Rattus norvegicus: one gene and its partners. The protein of the gene in region 3 interacts with the protein of the main gene of each other region in a pairwise test. Links are inferred from orthologs where the notes say so. Each region holds a gene or a part of one and is shown on either strand. Other genes may lie near its edges.

The links.
Region 1: the proteins of Exoc1 (region 3) and Sh3bp5 interact in a two-hybrid assay, tested with the Homo sapiens proteins (2 studies listed by BioGRID and IntAct). The link is inferred for Rattus norvegicus from reciprocal best matches to the Homo sapiens genes EXOC1 and SH3BP5.
Region 2: the proteins of Exoc1 (region 3) and Cdc5l interact in a two-hybrid assay, tested with the Homo sapiens proteins (2 studies listed by BioGRID and IntAct). The link is inferred for Rattus norvegicus from reciprocal best matches to the Homo sapiens genes EXOC1 and CDC5L.

Annotation. Positions count from the first base shown.
Region 1 is NC_086034.1:6,601,757-6,607,092, reverse strand, and holds part of Sh3bp5 (SH3 domain-binding protein 5), read left to right. Parts: exon of another isoform or gene 1-352; intron 353-3,002; exon of another isoform or gene 3,003-3,270; intron 3,271-3,809; coding exon 3,810-3,974; intron 3,975-4,596; coding exon of another isoform or gene 4,597-4,689; intron 4,690-5,336. UniProt on the Homo sapiens protein: Functions as a guanine nucleotide exchange factor (GEF) with specificity for RAB11A and RAB25. Inhibits the auto- and transphosphorylation activity of BTK. Plays a negative regulatory role in BTK-related cytoplasmic signaling in B-cells.
Region 2 is NC_086027.1:23,064,516-23,069,851, reverse strand, and holds part of Cdc5l (cell division cycle 5-like protein), read right to left. Parts: intron 4,941-5,336; coding exon 4,837-4,940; intron 3,100-4,836; coding exon 2,938-3,099; intron 2,376-2,937; coding exon 2,248-2,375; intron 1,030-2,247; coding exon 930-1,029; intron 1-929.
Region 3 is NC_086032.1:31,978,738-31,984,073, forward strand, and holds part of Exoc1 (exocyst complex component 1), read right to left. Parts: intron 4,574-5,336; coding exon of another isoform or gene 4,529-4,573; intron 3,412-4,528; coding exon 3,248-3,411; intron 2,740-3,247; coding exon 2,632-2,739; intron 1,059-2,631; coding exon 982-1,058; intron 131-981; coding exon 1-130.

The DNA of each region.
Region 1 (5,336 bases), on a different chromosome or scaffold from region 3:
CCAGTTCTAGATAAGGTGGAGCCATACAGGAGATGCCCATTGTCAACCTCAGGCTCTACCCACGTGCCCAGACCATACAAATACACATTTGTGCACACATAACACACACACATGCCACAAACAACAATAACAAAACCCCACAAGGCTGGGTGTTGATGGGAAGCAGAGAGGAGGACTGTGCCAAGTTCAAATCCAGCCTACTCTACACACCCAAGTCCCAGGCCAGCCAATTGTGTCTAACGGGACCTTTAAAAATTTAAGTGGGATTTGACTCATCTTTGTAGTCCGTACTTCAGGAGGGCGAGGCAGGAGGATTGCCTTGAGTTTGAGCCCAACCTCAAAGAAGCTATCTCAAAAATTAGATAGAGGGGCTGAGGATTTAGCTCAGTGGTAGAGCGCTTACCTAGGAAGCACAAGGCCCTGGGTTCGGTCCCCAGCTCCGAAAAAAAGAACCAAAAAAAAAAAAAAATTAGATAGATAGATAGATGATAGATAGATAGATAGATAATAGACAGACAGACTAGATATAGATAGATAGATAGATAGATAGATAGATAGATAGATGATAGACAGACAGACTAGATATAGATAGATAGATAGATAGATAGATAGATAGATAGATAGATAACAGACAGACTAGATATAGATAGATAGATAGATAGATAGATAGATAGATAGATAGATAACAGACAGACTAGAGATAGATAGATAGATAGATAATAGACAGACAGACTAGAGATAGATAGATAAATAGATAGATAGATAACAGACAGACAGACTAAAGATAGATAGATAGATAGATAGATAGATAGATAGATAGATAGATAGATAGATAGATAGATAGATAGCAAATGAAAGAAGGGACAGAGAGATCGCGTTTTAGAAAATGTTAGGGTCCCAGGGGATGAGCCCGTGTCTCAGAGCTGTGGAGAAGCCGCAGGTAGACTGAGGTTGGAGGGATGGATCACAATTCATCTCCCTTAAACCTGTCCAGATTTACTCTTCTTGGACCCGTCTGGAAAGATGGAGGCCCCAGACTGTTCTTGTGGCAGAAGTAAGAATGGGCAGGGGGCTCAGCTGGAGAGAGAGTCGGGTTGTCAGTGCCAGACAGTTACTTCTCAGTGGCTGATCGGTTCTAGAGAGGGTGGGCATCCCCATCCCTATGTGTGGTTCCTGCTACCTCAGTGGATGTAGATGGCTGGTAGGGGGCATTCATTGAGGCTGTTTTATTTTTATTATTATTATTATTATTATTATTATTATTATTATTATTATTATTGAGGCACGATTTTGCTGTATAGCCCAGGCTGGCTTTTTTAAATGCTCCTTTCCAGTCATTATCAGATTTCCTACAGACCCTGTCTCATGGTCCATCTTTGGAGTCTGACCTCAGGCGCTCCCCTTGACCTCCCTCCATCATCCTGAGTTGCAGCTCCTGCCTGCCCTTCAGGTCTCTCTTTAGGAAAACTTTGCTGGGTTTCCTCTTATGTGAAGCAAGTCCAATTCTCCTGCCCTGCACATAGCCTTGCACATAGCTTTCTGCACATCAGCTACATGTGGGGCGCAGTCCCCTGAGTGGATCTCTGTGGGCTGGAGGGCTGGGACTGTGGCTGTGCACAGACCAGAGTAGCGGATGCCCGTCTCGGGTTACCGTGGGTTACCGGGCTGTTTCTTCCCCCAGGGCTGTGGTGTTCTCAGCTTCTTCGTTTCTTTTCCCCTTAATTTTCTTTGCAAAGTACCCACAGTCTACGTGAAGACTTCCTCTGAGTCATGTGAGACTTTCTCTGGGGAAGGGTGGGGCCCACTTGTTCCCCTCTTAAGTCCCAGGGGCTGTCCTGTGGGTGTCCCACCAGGGTTTTCATAATTGGACTCAGGGAGTGGTACTGGGGCTGATTAGCATGTAGCCATGCCCCGCCCCTGGCCAGACAGGAAATTGGATGTGAGCCCGAGAAGAGAGGTCAGCAGTGTGGCCCCACTGACTGCTTTTAGGGGAGCGTGCTACAGAGCATGTGTGGACATCAGAGGACTGCCTCAGGTGTGGGTCCTCACTGACTACCTTGTTTGAGATAGGATGTGGCTATGTTTCTGCATTCACCACACTAGCCGCCCTGGTCTGTGGGCATCTGGGGGATTCCGCTGTCTCCGCCATCTCCCTCCCGCCCTGGAGCACCAGGTTTCAGAGGCATGCTAATCGGGTCGGCTCTGTGTGGACTCTGGGGACTTAGACTTAGGTCCTCACAAGTGCATAGCAAGCACTTTACCTGGGAGGTGTCATCTTCCCAGCCCTGCATATGATGCAGTCACATCACTCAGCCCACTCTTGAGGGGGGAACACCAACAGCCCTAAAGTAGTAGAGAGTCACCTACGAGGAAACAAACAGATGAGATTGATTTCAGTTTATCTTAGTTTAGTATATCTCACATCTCATCCATCTGAAAAATGGCAATGGGATAACCAACATTTTTCTACTGAGATTTTAAAATGAGGTGGATATTCTTTTGGTGTGTGTGCGCACGCACGTGTGTGGTGCATGTATGTATACTCACATGTGGCATACATGTGAGCATGTATGTACTCATGGCTATGTGTGCACATGTGCTTGTGGGTGAGTGGGAATCAAGAATCTTCCTCAATCAATGGTCCGCTTCAGTTTTTGAGCCCGGAACTCTTCAGCTAGTCTTTCTAACCAGCTTGCTTCAAGAACCGCCGTCCTCATTTTCTGAGCTGGGGCAGCTGCCACACCTCCAGGCGTTTGTGAGCTTTGGAGATCTGAGCCTCCGGTCCTCTCGCATGTGTGGCAAGCACCTCAACTCCTGAGCTCTGTCTAGGCTGTAAGGGATGTTTACATTTTTCGTTAATCACATTTAGATGCTCTGGGGTTACATGTTGGCCTGAGACTTTTTAAAGTGCTGGCAGTGCAAGCATCTGGACCGAGTTCCCAATCCACAGGACCTGCGTAAGAAAGCCAGGCCCAGCAGTAACCCCAGCAACCGAGAGGTGGGTGGATCCCAGGGCTCACAGGCAGCAGCCTAGCCTCACAGGGGACTTCCTGCCAGTGAGAAGCCTTGTCACAGAAAACAAGGCTCCCGAGGAGTGGTCTTCAGTGTTAACGTTAGGTTTCTCCATGTACACACGTCCACGGACATACACGTCCTTGTACGTACATGTCCACGGACATACACAGGCCCGGCATACGCTGTCTGCCGTAGATAGGAGCACAGCTGCTGTGTGCGTTTCCCTTCCTTCTGAAAGCAGGACGTGTGCTCTTGGTAGGCCTGGGCCTGGGTGTCAGTGTGGGCTGAGAGGGCTGCCTGGCAGTGGGCTGCTAGGCTGGCAGTCGTGTACTGGGGTGTTTGCCTGGCCTGGAGCCTTGTTTCTGACCAGCTCTGCAGTCTCAGGAAAAGCTGTTTCCAGCTGCTAGGCCTCATCTGCAGAATGGGGCCTATAACTGTGGTCTCTGGAGCACTCTGGGCTGTGACGTGCAGGGAAGATTCCCAGGACTGCTATGCCCACCTGGGCTTCATTCCTAAGCCAGGGCATCAGAGAAAGGCCTCATTAGCCATTGGCAGCACAGATGCAAGGTCTGTCGAGCTCCAGACTATGGAGGCTGTCTGCTCACCAACCTGGTATTCACTCAGCCATCGGCCTCCTGTAACCCCATCCTGTGCGTGAGGGACTTCCCTGTGCAGCCTCCAAGAGGGAGGCAGAGGTGGATCAAATCCTGGGCCACTCATCTCTGGGGGTGGGGGATGGACCCAGGGACCCCCGGGCTTCACCTCAGGCCTTACAAGACCTTCTCTCTCAACAGGCTCAGCTAGAAGCGCAGAAAGCCACACAGGACTTCCAGAGGGCCACTGAGGTGCTCCGTGCAGCCAAGGAGACAATCTCCCTGGCCGAGCAGCGGCTGCTGGAGGATGACAAGCGCCAGTTTGACTCTGCTTGGCAGGAAATGCTGAATCACGCTACTCAGAGGGTAGGTGTGGCCGTGTGTGCTGGTGCTGGGGACCCAGGCCTACAGGCTGTTCTTTGACTCCACACGAGAGTAGAGGTAGCTTTCTGGGTGGCATAGAACCCTCCTGTACAGGCCATGGACTCTCTGCCTTATGTAGTGTGTTGGCTGGCAGGGCTTTAAGCCACCAGTGACAGGTGGACATAATCTTTCTCTGTATTGCCTTAAATGTGTCCTCAGGTTCATGTGGTCCACCACTGTCTTGGCAGTGGAGTTGGGTTTTCCAGAGGGGCCAGGATGTTCTCCAAGGTTGGCTTCATGACCTCAGAAGGACTGCAGGCCCCAAGTGGAAGCCCAATTAACACTTTTGACCTGCCACTGGGTATATGTTGGTGGTGGGTGAAGTACCCAGACTGGAATAAGTGGGTAGACCCTCAGGAAGGGCCTTCTGGGTGAAGCTTGCGTCTGGGGAGTAGCGCTCTGTAGGCAGGAGCTGGGAGTGGTTGTCATAAGGGCTTTACGTCGCCATTATTTGGCTCTTGACCTGTTCCCACCTTGCTCAGAATTGGAAGTGATATTGTCTGGTCCAGGCAGACTAGTAAACAAAATACTGGCTGACTTCAAAACAGAAATACATCCCTCACAGTTCTGGAAGCCAGGAAGTCCAAAGCCAAGGCTGATGTGTATGCTGTCTGATGAAGACCCGTTTCTGGTCCTCAAAGGGCTCTCTCCTCTTAAGGTAGCAAATGAGCCTTCTCAGACCTTCCTGCCCGTCTGCTTGCCTGCCTGCCTGCCTGCCTGCCTGCCTGCCTGCCTTCCTTCCTTTCTTCCTTCTTTCCTCCCTCCTTCCCTCCTTCCTTCCTTCCTTCCTTCCTTCCTTCCTTCCTTCCTTCCTTCCTTGTGCTTGTGCTAGGGATCGACCCCAGGCCCCTTCACACTGTAGGCAAGCACTCCAACATTGAACCACAGTGGGGCCCCACCCCTCTGGTCCCACAGCATCACTTCCCCAAGGCCCACCTCGATATCCACACTGGGGACATTTCCATTCCAGCAGGTAGAGCCGTGTGCTTGACACTGTGGCATTGGGGTTTACTGGGATCACAGGATCCACTTCCTGCTTCCGATTCGGCTTCCGATTCTTGGTCCCCTTGGCCCTAGCCTGTCCTCCCTGCAAGGCCAGTGTCAAAGCAAGGCTGGGGGTTTGCTGTGGGTCAGGCCAGTGAGCTGCAGCCCCTGGTGGAAGGAAGGCTCAGGCTCAGCTTTGGCTTCAGTGAGTGACAGGAAGACTGTCTGTCTGTGGGGTAGAAACGAGGTCAGGAGTCAGTGCCAGTGGCTGTTCCCTTGTCAGTGTCCCCTGTCACAGTTGCTCAAGTCCTGGGGGATCTG
Region 2 (5,336 bases), on a different chromosome or scaffold from region 3:
TAAAGCATATGCTAGTGTATCAGTCACGTCCTAAAACATTACTTAACCCTCAAGAGTATACAGAACAGAAAAGTAGCTGGATATGAAGAAAACATAGCACCTTCTCTTAGATAGGATAGTTCTCTATGTGTATCACTCTGACTACTCCTACACTAATGAATGGCCAGCTACTATGCCAAAAGCATCCTCCATCCCAGGATCCAGCACTGGGAATACCAACACAGTGCTAGCTACCCACTAGGTCAAAAAGCAAGTTCTAGACAGCACAGGAGCCAAAAAAGGCTCTAGGTAGACTGTGGGGTAGGGAGTTTATCAATACCTGAATCCCACCAACTGCCACACAGTTCAGATGGTATCTTTACCAACTTTATCTTAGCTTCTGGGCATCAGAATGATATAAATTCAACCAAAAGGAAGCAAGGAGAAGGTGGGGGAAGGCCTAAGCAAAGAACAATGCCTAATACAGTTCGCTCGCTTTTTAAGTGACGATTTCTCCGACAGCCTAGACTTTGGCTCAAGGCTCATTAACTTTAAGTCCCTCTAGGATCAGCTGGGAGTCCTGCCCAACACTGACCAAGAGGATGAGGAGCTGGAAACTGACAATCATGTGAAAGCCACCTGAAGCCACAATGCTACAAGAGATCAAACACAGCATGCTGGGTCAAGTATTTGCCCGTAATTTCTGCCATGCTTTGTAAACTTTTTAAGTGTATTTTTCCTATAACTATTCTGAAATGGTTAGGGAGAAAATACAGAAGTTGTTTTTGTTTGTTCCAGATGTTCCAGAACAATAAAGGCACTAAGGAGTAACAGCAAAATGGGAATTGATCAGTTCAGACTAGTTACCAACTAGAGCAGATAACCATACAGTTGCCTGAACCTAAGGACGCATAACCAATTACTGTACATAGAATGAAAAGAAAACATGCCTTGCTTCTTCCAACTGCTTTTCTCTTGCTTTCCTCTTAGCCTTCTTTCCTTGAGTATTGGCCAAACGGGCTCGAGCCTCAGAAAGCATCTCAAGTTCATCTGCGAAAATAAAGACAAGAAAAATAAGTTCCTCTCCAACAACAGCAGTCAGGCATATCCCAGTGCTTACAATGACAAAAGCATAAATATACTCACTACTGGTACAGGGCACAGAAAACTTGTCAAGTCAGAGAAAGGTTACAAATCATCCCATCATTAACTTGCTCGTTATGTAGGCCTCGTGCCATATTTACCTCTGTGAAAATGTTTCCCATTAAAATCAGAATAAGAATGTCTACTTCAGAGATGCTAAGAGCTAAGAAAAATGAAGTATATCAAGCAAGGATCAAGTATTTGCTCACAGAAAGCTCTACTACAATAGCATCCGTAACACCAACAAAATGACACTTCACCAGCAGAGAAATAATGCAGCAACTAATCATGGGGAACTGATAACCTTCAGACATTTTTCCCCTCAGAATTGTTTTTTCTCCAAGACATTTTCTACAGCTCTCCCCAACAAAACAACAAAAGCAGTCTCATAATGATGGACAAGACTTAAGACTCCACTCAGATCATAGTCCTCTCTCTTCCCTCAGTAAGAATTACCAACTCAGTTTCCTCAGGGGAGGACCTGGTGCCTACAGCTTTAAAAGTTCCCCAAGTGGAAAGGATGTAACAGCCTCATAGTCACATACTCGTCACTCTTGGGAGCCACTGCATTCAGGTTTTAAATCTTTTCATCTTTAAACTACCACGTACCCAAAAAAAGGTAAAGGAGGTATTATTCTCAAGTTCAAAGAGCCTACATGACTTAGCTAAGGTCAAACAGCTAGTAAATAGCAGAGATGGACCCAAAGGCCAATCCCGGACTCTTGACTCGATGTGTTACAGAATCACTGTCAGTCTCCAGCATAGCTCTTGAAGACCAGTCCTTTCCTAGAGAGTAAATCACCCTAAAGTCAAAAAAACAGCAAAGTCCAATATGCTAGCTTGTTGTCTCTCCTTCTAGAAAAGGAACGAGAGACAGGATCCTGCGAGCCTCATCACCCACTTCTGGCACATCTGACTACTACACTGATCAATTCATTAAATGAAATGAAGAAAGAGAAAATAAAGGGTATCATCAAAAAACCAGACACATTTGGGGAGATACCTAGAATAACCACTGACAGAACTGGGATTCTAAACATCAGGAGTTCAGGAGAAACTAAGAAGAGTGTGAGGAAGGCCTGAGTCACATGTTGTGAGCAGAAATTCTTCCCAGCATCCACTCACCCTCATCCATGTCAATTGGATCAGGCCGGGCTGGTTTGGTTTCTGGATTTGGATCTATCTCTCCAGGCTTAAGTTTTCGGGGGTCATCTGTTGTTTCCTCTTCATTGTCCCTTTGGGCAGTTTTGTCCCTTGGAGGGAAAAAAACAAACCCCAGATGAGTCAGTCACAGCATCACCCCATTTAGTATGAGAATTACCAAGGTTCTGGCTCTGGCACTCCTTTCTTTCCCAAAATAACCAACAGATGAGTGTTATGGAAAACAGCATCTTTACAACTGCTTCATGAGAATAAAAGGGACATTACAATTCTCTAATTTCAGTATTTCCACTCATGAGGAAACAAGCAGCCATTCCTCACAAATACAGAACATCCAGACAAATACACTCCTGGAACAGAACGACAAAGTCCTAATAAGCTCTCAGCAGCGCTGCGTTGGTGATGGGGCCTCATGCACCCACTCACACTCACACTCACACTTTCCTGAGTGTGACTAGCACATTTTGTAAACTACCCTTCTACAGGAGAGGCGGAAAACATCATTTTGCTCAACCATTCGACATCTGGAATACAGAATTCAGTGACTTTGGTTTCTCTGGCTTTAGTCACAGGCACAACTAAGCTGGAAATGCTCTAAGCTTGTTCAGCAGGTTAACATAACACAGCCTTCAGGACACTCTGAGGCCCACTCACAGGAGGAATTCATAGTGCTCCAAGCACTGGGCTGCTGTCCTTCCTATGATTGGAGCAATGGTCCTCCACTGCGTTGGCATCAGCTTGGCCAAGTGCAAGAGCTTTTCTTCCTCTTCTCTGGACCATTCAGTTTTCTTAATACTTGGGTCCAGCCATTCGTACCTGTTAAAGACAACATATCAAACATTAGTACTCCATGTACCGACTCTAAGACCACATGCTCTCATCCTTCAATCACTAACACTATGCTGACAAGAGAACTCACTGTGAAGCTGAACTAACTCATCTGCCCCTCTTCACATTACAATGTATGTTCAGTATATAAGACTAGTGAGACTAGTGAGACTTGGGCTGGAGAGATGGCTCAGTGGTTAAGAGCACCCGACTACTCTTCCAGAGGTCCTGAGTTCAATTCCCAGCAACCACATGGTGGCTCACAACCATCTGTAAAGAGATCTGATGCCCTCTTCTGGTGTATCTGAAAACAGCTACAGTGTACTCATATATAATAAATGAATAAATCTTTAAAAAAAAAAAAAAAAAAAGACTAGTGAGACTTAAAACTCTAACAAACTAAAGTCCAAGATGCAATCATGGAACTTCTTTTTTTTTTAACTAGTACTTATTTTTATTTGTTTAACCGTCTTTTGTTTTATGTCTATTTGGTTTGTTTTTTGTGGTAATTGTGTTGTTTTGTTTTGGGTTTTCTGGTTTTTTGAGATAGGGTTTCTCTGTGTACCATTGTCTGTCCTAGAACTCCATCTGTAGACCAGGCTGGCCTAGCATTCAGACATCTGCCTGCCTCTGCATTCCATGATGGGATTACAGATGTGCATCACCATACCCAGCACTTGTTCTTAGATTTTCTGAACTGCTAAAAGTACCTGGAAAAAATAGCACCTTGTATTATTTATATTACAATTTCACTGTACATCCTTATGTTTGAGTCCCACAGCATCTTCACTTACTTCTCTAAACGTCCACTTAAACCCACTGTTTAATGTTCCAGAGCTGTGTGCTTCCATGTGCTGTACTTTTAAGTTTAAAGTAGAAGACACTGTCCGTCTTCTAACGTCTCAGTCTGCCTTGTCCATGAGGTGGTTAGCTGGGTGAGAACCTGTCCACATGTCTAAGTCCTCACTGCCACTGGTGCTCCAGCTAGGCTGAAGCTTAAGGCTTACAGTCACTAAGAGAAAGTGAATCAAACTACTGCAGCCTGAGAGCCCCCTTCCTTCTGCTCTGCATCTGACCCTTCCCACCATCAGAATCTGGGTCACTTCACACAATCCAAATCCTGCTCCTCATAGCATATGGGCTGCAGCCGAGATGGTTCATCCAAGTCCAGGACACTGCTCATGACCACCACTCTGTGACTTAACAAGGTAACACATAAGTAGAATGTTGCATTTTAGTATAGCAAATATGCAATATTGCTGCCCTATTAAAAGGAAGCTAACCACTGTGACCTGGCCTTTAAAAAAAAAAAAAAAGCACTGTTTAGCATTTATTTCTTTGGGAAAGTAAGTCCTAAAATAACCAATTTATAAACTTTTAGACCACAACTTATTCAATGAACTGAGGCCCAGCTACCTAAGATTTTGTATTGTGTCTCACAAGGCACTCTCAAATAAATACATTAACTCACTTGGACAAGGATTCACAACTGATCAATTAGTGCTAAGTTGTGAGAAAACAGGCAGGGTAAAGAGGAGGAAAAATGGTTTGCTCAAGACACAGGAAGCAAGTGGTAAGTACATCTAAAGGCCCCTCTTTCCATACTTCCCTCCATATCACAGTTCATGCTTTAGGGGAATAGAGGGGGTCAAAGAGCCAGCTCCCTCATCACAGTGGGGATCCGGATCACACTGCTTTCCCCTGGACTGACTGGTACATACATACCATCTGGCTTTGCACTGCTTTGCCGATTTCCTATGCAGCAATGAGGCAATCCTAGACCACTGGTTTTTCCCATATTTCATTACCGCTGCTTTAAGAATTTCATCCTAGAGAGTTACCAAAGAGAATGCATTCAGTCACAAGCCTCTAAATGAGAAAAGACAAAACTTAAGTTAGTCCCCGCAGAGGTCCTGTAGAGAGAGGCACACGATCGTTAAAAAAATAAAAAAGGCATGGAAACTTTATTATTCAGTGGTTAAGAACATGTACTGCTCTTTGCAGAAAATGTGAGTTCAATTCCCAGCACCCTTATCAGGCATCCTGCCTATAACTCCAGCTACAAGGGGATTCAAAGTCTCTAGCCACTGAAGGCACCTGTACTCATGCACAGACACATAATTTTTAAAGTAAAATATATCTTTAAAAAAAAAGAGAGAAAGGACATCTTACCTGCCCCTCAACAAACTGGAGGTGGGAAAAGTCAATGCTGAAAACACTACTTT
Region 3 (5,336 bases):
GTGGCTCATCTTGACAAGCATGTACAGGGAGTTAAAGCTATCAACTTTGTCTCCTAATGCAATGAGGTTGTTCAGCTCTGGTTCAATGCAACGGAATATTTTGATCATCATTTGGCGAATCATATCTTTCCTGTTCAGGAAGTATGAAAAAACATATAGTTAGTATAAACTTTGGCTGAATTCACCTTTAACTGTGACTGTAATGTACTATATAAAAACACAGCTAAACATTGGCACTACAAGTAAAAGTATCAAACTATAATGAATCATTCTTTAGCAGTTTTGAATATAAAACTGGCCGACCAAAGTTAAGTTTTATCATTCTGATTAGCTTTGCTTCAATTTCCAAAGCTGGGCACTAAACTATGCTTTTCTATTGCTAAGAAGTCCACACTACAGTTTGAAGGTTACTTTCTCGCAGCAAACACTAGCACTGACAAATCCACCTATGATTACCAGACAGAGGAGTTCACAAGCCCTTAGCACATGTGCCCATTGTCAACCCAACAGGACCTAGAATTACCCAGGAGACAAGCATTCATTTATAACTGTGAAAGATTACCTATGCTACACTGCTTCTGGACATGCGCGGGGTGGGGGGGGAACATTGTCTTGACTTTGTTATTTGATGTAGGAAAATCTTCCTACTATGGGTGGCACCATTCCCTGGGCTGGATTCTGGACTGTATAAAAAGGAAAAAGAGAGCTAAACACAGGCATTCATTGCTCTGCTCTTCCTGACAAGGGATGGCACATGACCACAGGCTTCAAGTTCCTGCTGCCTTGATTTCTCCACCTGAACTGCAGGCCAAGATCAACTCGTGCTTCTATCAGTGTTTCCCTCACCACACCAACAGAAGGATAACCAGGATCGCACACAGGTCTGTGTGGGGACCAGCAGGTAACCAGAAATTAATGAGAAGCACTTCCTTATGTCTCAAAGTTTATGTTTTCCAGACATGCAGAGTAATAAATACATACTCAGAGGACACAGGCAGCAGGGAGCCAGAACTCTGTGGCCGTGATAATGAGCCTCCATCCAGGTCTTCTGCTTCAGCCTGAAAAATACTCACACATAAGACCAACACAGTGACAAGTTTATATATCAAAAGGCTACTTTTAAAAACACCTACAAGAAAATATATTCTAGAAAATAGTAATATTTTATTACTATTAAAGTAACTTAATATTGTATGTTTAAGAAAATTTCATGAAATACATTGTTCTTAGATTTTAACAGTTTGTTAACTATGTGTGCAGGGAAGTGACACAGTGCATGTGTGGAGGGCAGAAGACTGTGATGGAGTCTGTTCTTTTTTTTTTTTTTGGGTTCTTTTTTTCGGAGCTGGGGACCGAACCCAGGGCCTTGCGCTTCCTAGGTAAGCGCTCTACCACTGAGCTAAATCCCCAGCCCCGAGTCTGTTCTTATATACTTCACTCTTCTGTAGGTTCCAGGAATAAAACTCAGGTCCACAGGTTTGCTCAGCAATGACCCATCTTATTCAGCCTGCTTTTAGACCCCTGCACCCCAACCCTGAGAAGTACTATAAGGTAAAAAGTTGTAGTTGTATATGTGTACACTATGGCTGTGAAGAGGAAGAGAAAGTGCATGAGGCCAGATGCACGCGTGCACGCGTACACACACACGCGCGCACACACACACACACACAGAGGAAAACATCCAACAACTTTAGAATGAGAATTCAGCTCTGAAAATGCTGTCGGGTTAGAAGCCGGTTCAGTAGTTAGAAGCACTGGCTGCTCTTCCAAAGGACCCAGGTTGGATTCCCACATCCCTATGACAGCTCATCAAAGCCACCTGCAACTCCAGTTCCTAAGCATACTACGCCCTCTTCTGGCTTCCTCTACATGCAGGACACACACATACATGCAGGCAAAATAATACACAATACCTACAATAAATATAAGTATCTAAACGCTGTCATGAATCCTTTCTGAAGCTGTGTGAGAAGTTTACGGCACTCCTACCCCGCAGCGGAGTTTCTCATGCCTTAGGGCGCAGCTCCCTGTGTGGTTTGATTCTTCAAAACTGGCTCCAGTCCTCTCATCCATTCTCATGTCCACAGGCAGTGCATCTGCACCACACTAATAGCGACTGGGGACGGGCAGCACCCACAGTGTCCAGACTCCAAGCTAAGGCCCCTGACCCTCTGTGTCATTATCTCTTAGGTCAGAGCTTTTCTTTGAGAACAGCAAAATATTAAAATTTTTAGGACTTTTGGTGTTTTAGGTCTTATACTCTGTGTCCTAGGCCAGCCTGGAACTCATGCAGTCTTCCTACTAAGCTTCCCAAGTGCTCGGATTATAGACAAGCTACCACACCCCAATTAAAATGGCTTTTTGAATGAAGTTCTCTACAGAATAAATGCAGACATTTCCTGTCTTATTAATTTAGAGGTTGTCAGCTTAAGAATTCTGGAATCCTAGAAATCTGAAACCAACTACCTTCCTGCTTTCTGTATTTTGTGAATAACAAATACTTTAAAGATTGACTTATTGGATAGCCTTCCCTTTCCTGTTTGGATATCAAAACTGTGAGTGCAGAATACAAAAGTAACTAGGCTAACTATATTAGACTATAAATACTGTCCAGTTAAATGTAAGCCATACCATTGACGCAGACAGGTTTTGATGTTGCTGTAGTTTGAAAAATTTACTTATGAAGTCCTGCTCTGCCAGACACAGCGGCTCCAGCTCGCTCAGCACCTGCTCAAAGATCTGCAGAAAGCAAACCACTGACGGTCACAGCACGGCCCGGAGCTCTGAGCTCCTGACAACACTGCACGTTTATTCACTCCGGATCATCTCCCAGTCTAGGATCCCCCAGTGTGCCACAGACAACGCTCCCAAGACTGACAGAGTAATTCAATATTGGAGTGAAACACACTGAAAAGAAAACTCACAGTTCCTCAGTTCAGATCTGGGAGGAGGAAGACACACTTTGAAAATTACCTGTACCATGGCAGCCGACAGTGAGGCCATTTCTTCAAACTCTGGATTCTGTCATTCTTCAAACAACTTAGGTGTGACTTTATTTACACATCATATTTCTAACAAGTAAATGCCAATGACTCTTTTATGTTACTGAATTGATAAATCAAATTTTAGTTGCCCTTTGGACTGGGATTTTTCAGATCCAACCCAGAATTGGAAGGACAAGGCCTGCATCTCTGAAAACACTTCAGGCGATCACAGTGTTAATGTTAAGAACTGCCTGTTATTTTACCTTATCAAATTTGGTTCTGTCGGCCACATCGAGGTCAGAAGCGGACATGTTCCCCATGTCCAGCAGGGAGGATGACTGGGACCTGCGACTGCCCGAGCTCTGAACACTGAGTTTATTCAGACTAGAAGTTGATCCAGTGAGTTTCCCAGAGCTTCCATGGAGACCTAAGAAACAACAGAACTTTGAAGGTTGTGTCTCATGAAGAAAAGACCTATAATCTGCCTCGGGGCTACCTTCTAGAGTATTGTCCTCCAGGACTCAGATTCTACTACATCTTCTACAGAGTCCTTGCTGTTCCTTAACACCAGGTCCTGCTGCAGAGAACACTGTAAGGAAAGCTGCATGCAGCTATGGACCAGGATGGAAAGGACCTTACTGACTGGATCCTGCCCTGAAGGTAAAGCTATGGTGCTCTCTAAGCCAAAGCAGATGGGGCACCGATGAGGGTCACTGAGGACTGTGCTAACACTGCAGCTGACCCGACCTTGTGACATTCCTAAGAAAACCCAAAGCTGAGTAGTAACTGTCTGTCTTAAACAGCAGTTCATTAAGGTGACCCACACTATCACTTCTTGACAAATTTCCCATCAAAGTCCATCATTTATTATTAAATTTAATATGTTCCTGAGTCTAGAAACCCACACTAAGGAACTAATGGCTCCTTCTTAGAAGAACATATAATGTTTGGACTCAGAATGTAGACAGTAAGACACTTGGAAAGCCCGTAGTTCTTGACTCAGTTAATTTACACCATTTAGTAATGGCAGAAAGGGAAAATAGTTATAACAGGGGCAATTCCAGCTTTGGCCTCAGTATACAAACCACTACCAGATCCCTTTAATGTGCGTGTGTGTGTGTGTGTGTGTGTGTGTGTGTGTGTGTGCGCGCGCGCGTGTGGGTGTGGGCAGAAGCCAGAGGTATGGGATCCCCTGGAGCTGGAGTTACAGGGGTTGTGAGCCTCCCGACCCGAGTGCTCTCAGCTGCTGAGCCCTCCCTCCAGTAACAGTTAGACTCTTCTAAACATAACCTGTAACAGAAGTGCGGTGTTAAGGTTTTCCATACATTTCTGACAACAAAGCTTTCACTCCTCACTGTGTAACTGTAACCACGTCACTTATTTCTTGGATGTACAGACAACCACCATGCTGGGTTTCTTTTTCCAATACCTGGCGATTCGGTGCAATGAACGTATCTGCTGTTAATGTTTCTCAAGACAAACAGCTAGCATCTAGACAGTAACACCATGCACTGAGAGCCTCCCAGCATGGTACGCATACTCACTCTCTGTCTCCTGTTTGACAGCACTTTCTTTTCGAGGCAGTGTAGCTGTGATGGATTAGGTTGCAAGCATCAAAGACAAAGACAAGTTAATAAACGCAATTTGCACAAACCATGCACAACAGGCAGTTAAAGCTCTAGTTTAAAAGACACATGCAAAGAACCATGAGAACTGACTAACAGGAAGTGCAAACACGTGTGTAGTTACTCAGTGACTATTGAGAAAGTATGAGAAGTTTTACAGACCTTAAATGTGGGACTTCTACTCATATTTTTCCAAGTAAAATATCAGGGTTTAAGTCCTCTCCCCCAACCTTTTAAATGTATGGGATTATTGTTTTAGTTTAGGAAGTTGGTACACTTATGTTTAAAAGAATGAGTTCATAAGGTTTTGTTTCCTGAGAAAAATGAAGTTCAAGTAATTTAATACAGTACGGAATGAAGGGGTAGCTTTGACACAGCAATTGTACTCTGAAAGCCCCGGAAGGACATCTTCAGCACACTAATCTTTTACTCTATCTGTTCAAGATTATGTCAGTGGGGCTTTAAGACAGTTTTATAATTAAAGTCAAATGTCACGCTGATTTCTTGGTGAGTAGCCTATGAACAGAAGGCTGAAAAGTGGGAAAACAGCAATCAGGAGCTCTGTGGAAGACTGAGGCTGAGGGACAAAGGAGTAGGGAAGTCTGAACTCTATTATGGTCATTGGCATTTTTTTTACTCTCAAACTCTGTTCTACATAATATCTATATGTCAACTTCAGAGCTTATGCTGCGAAATATTCTGAGCTCAAACTCAGAAGTTAAGGTGA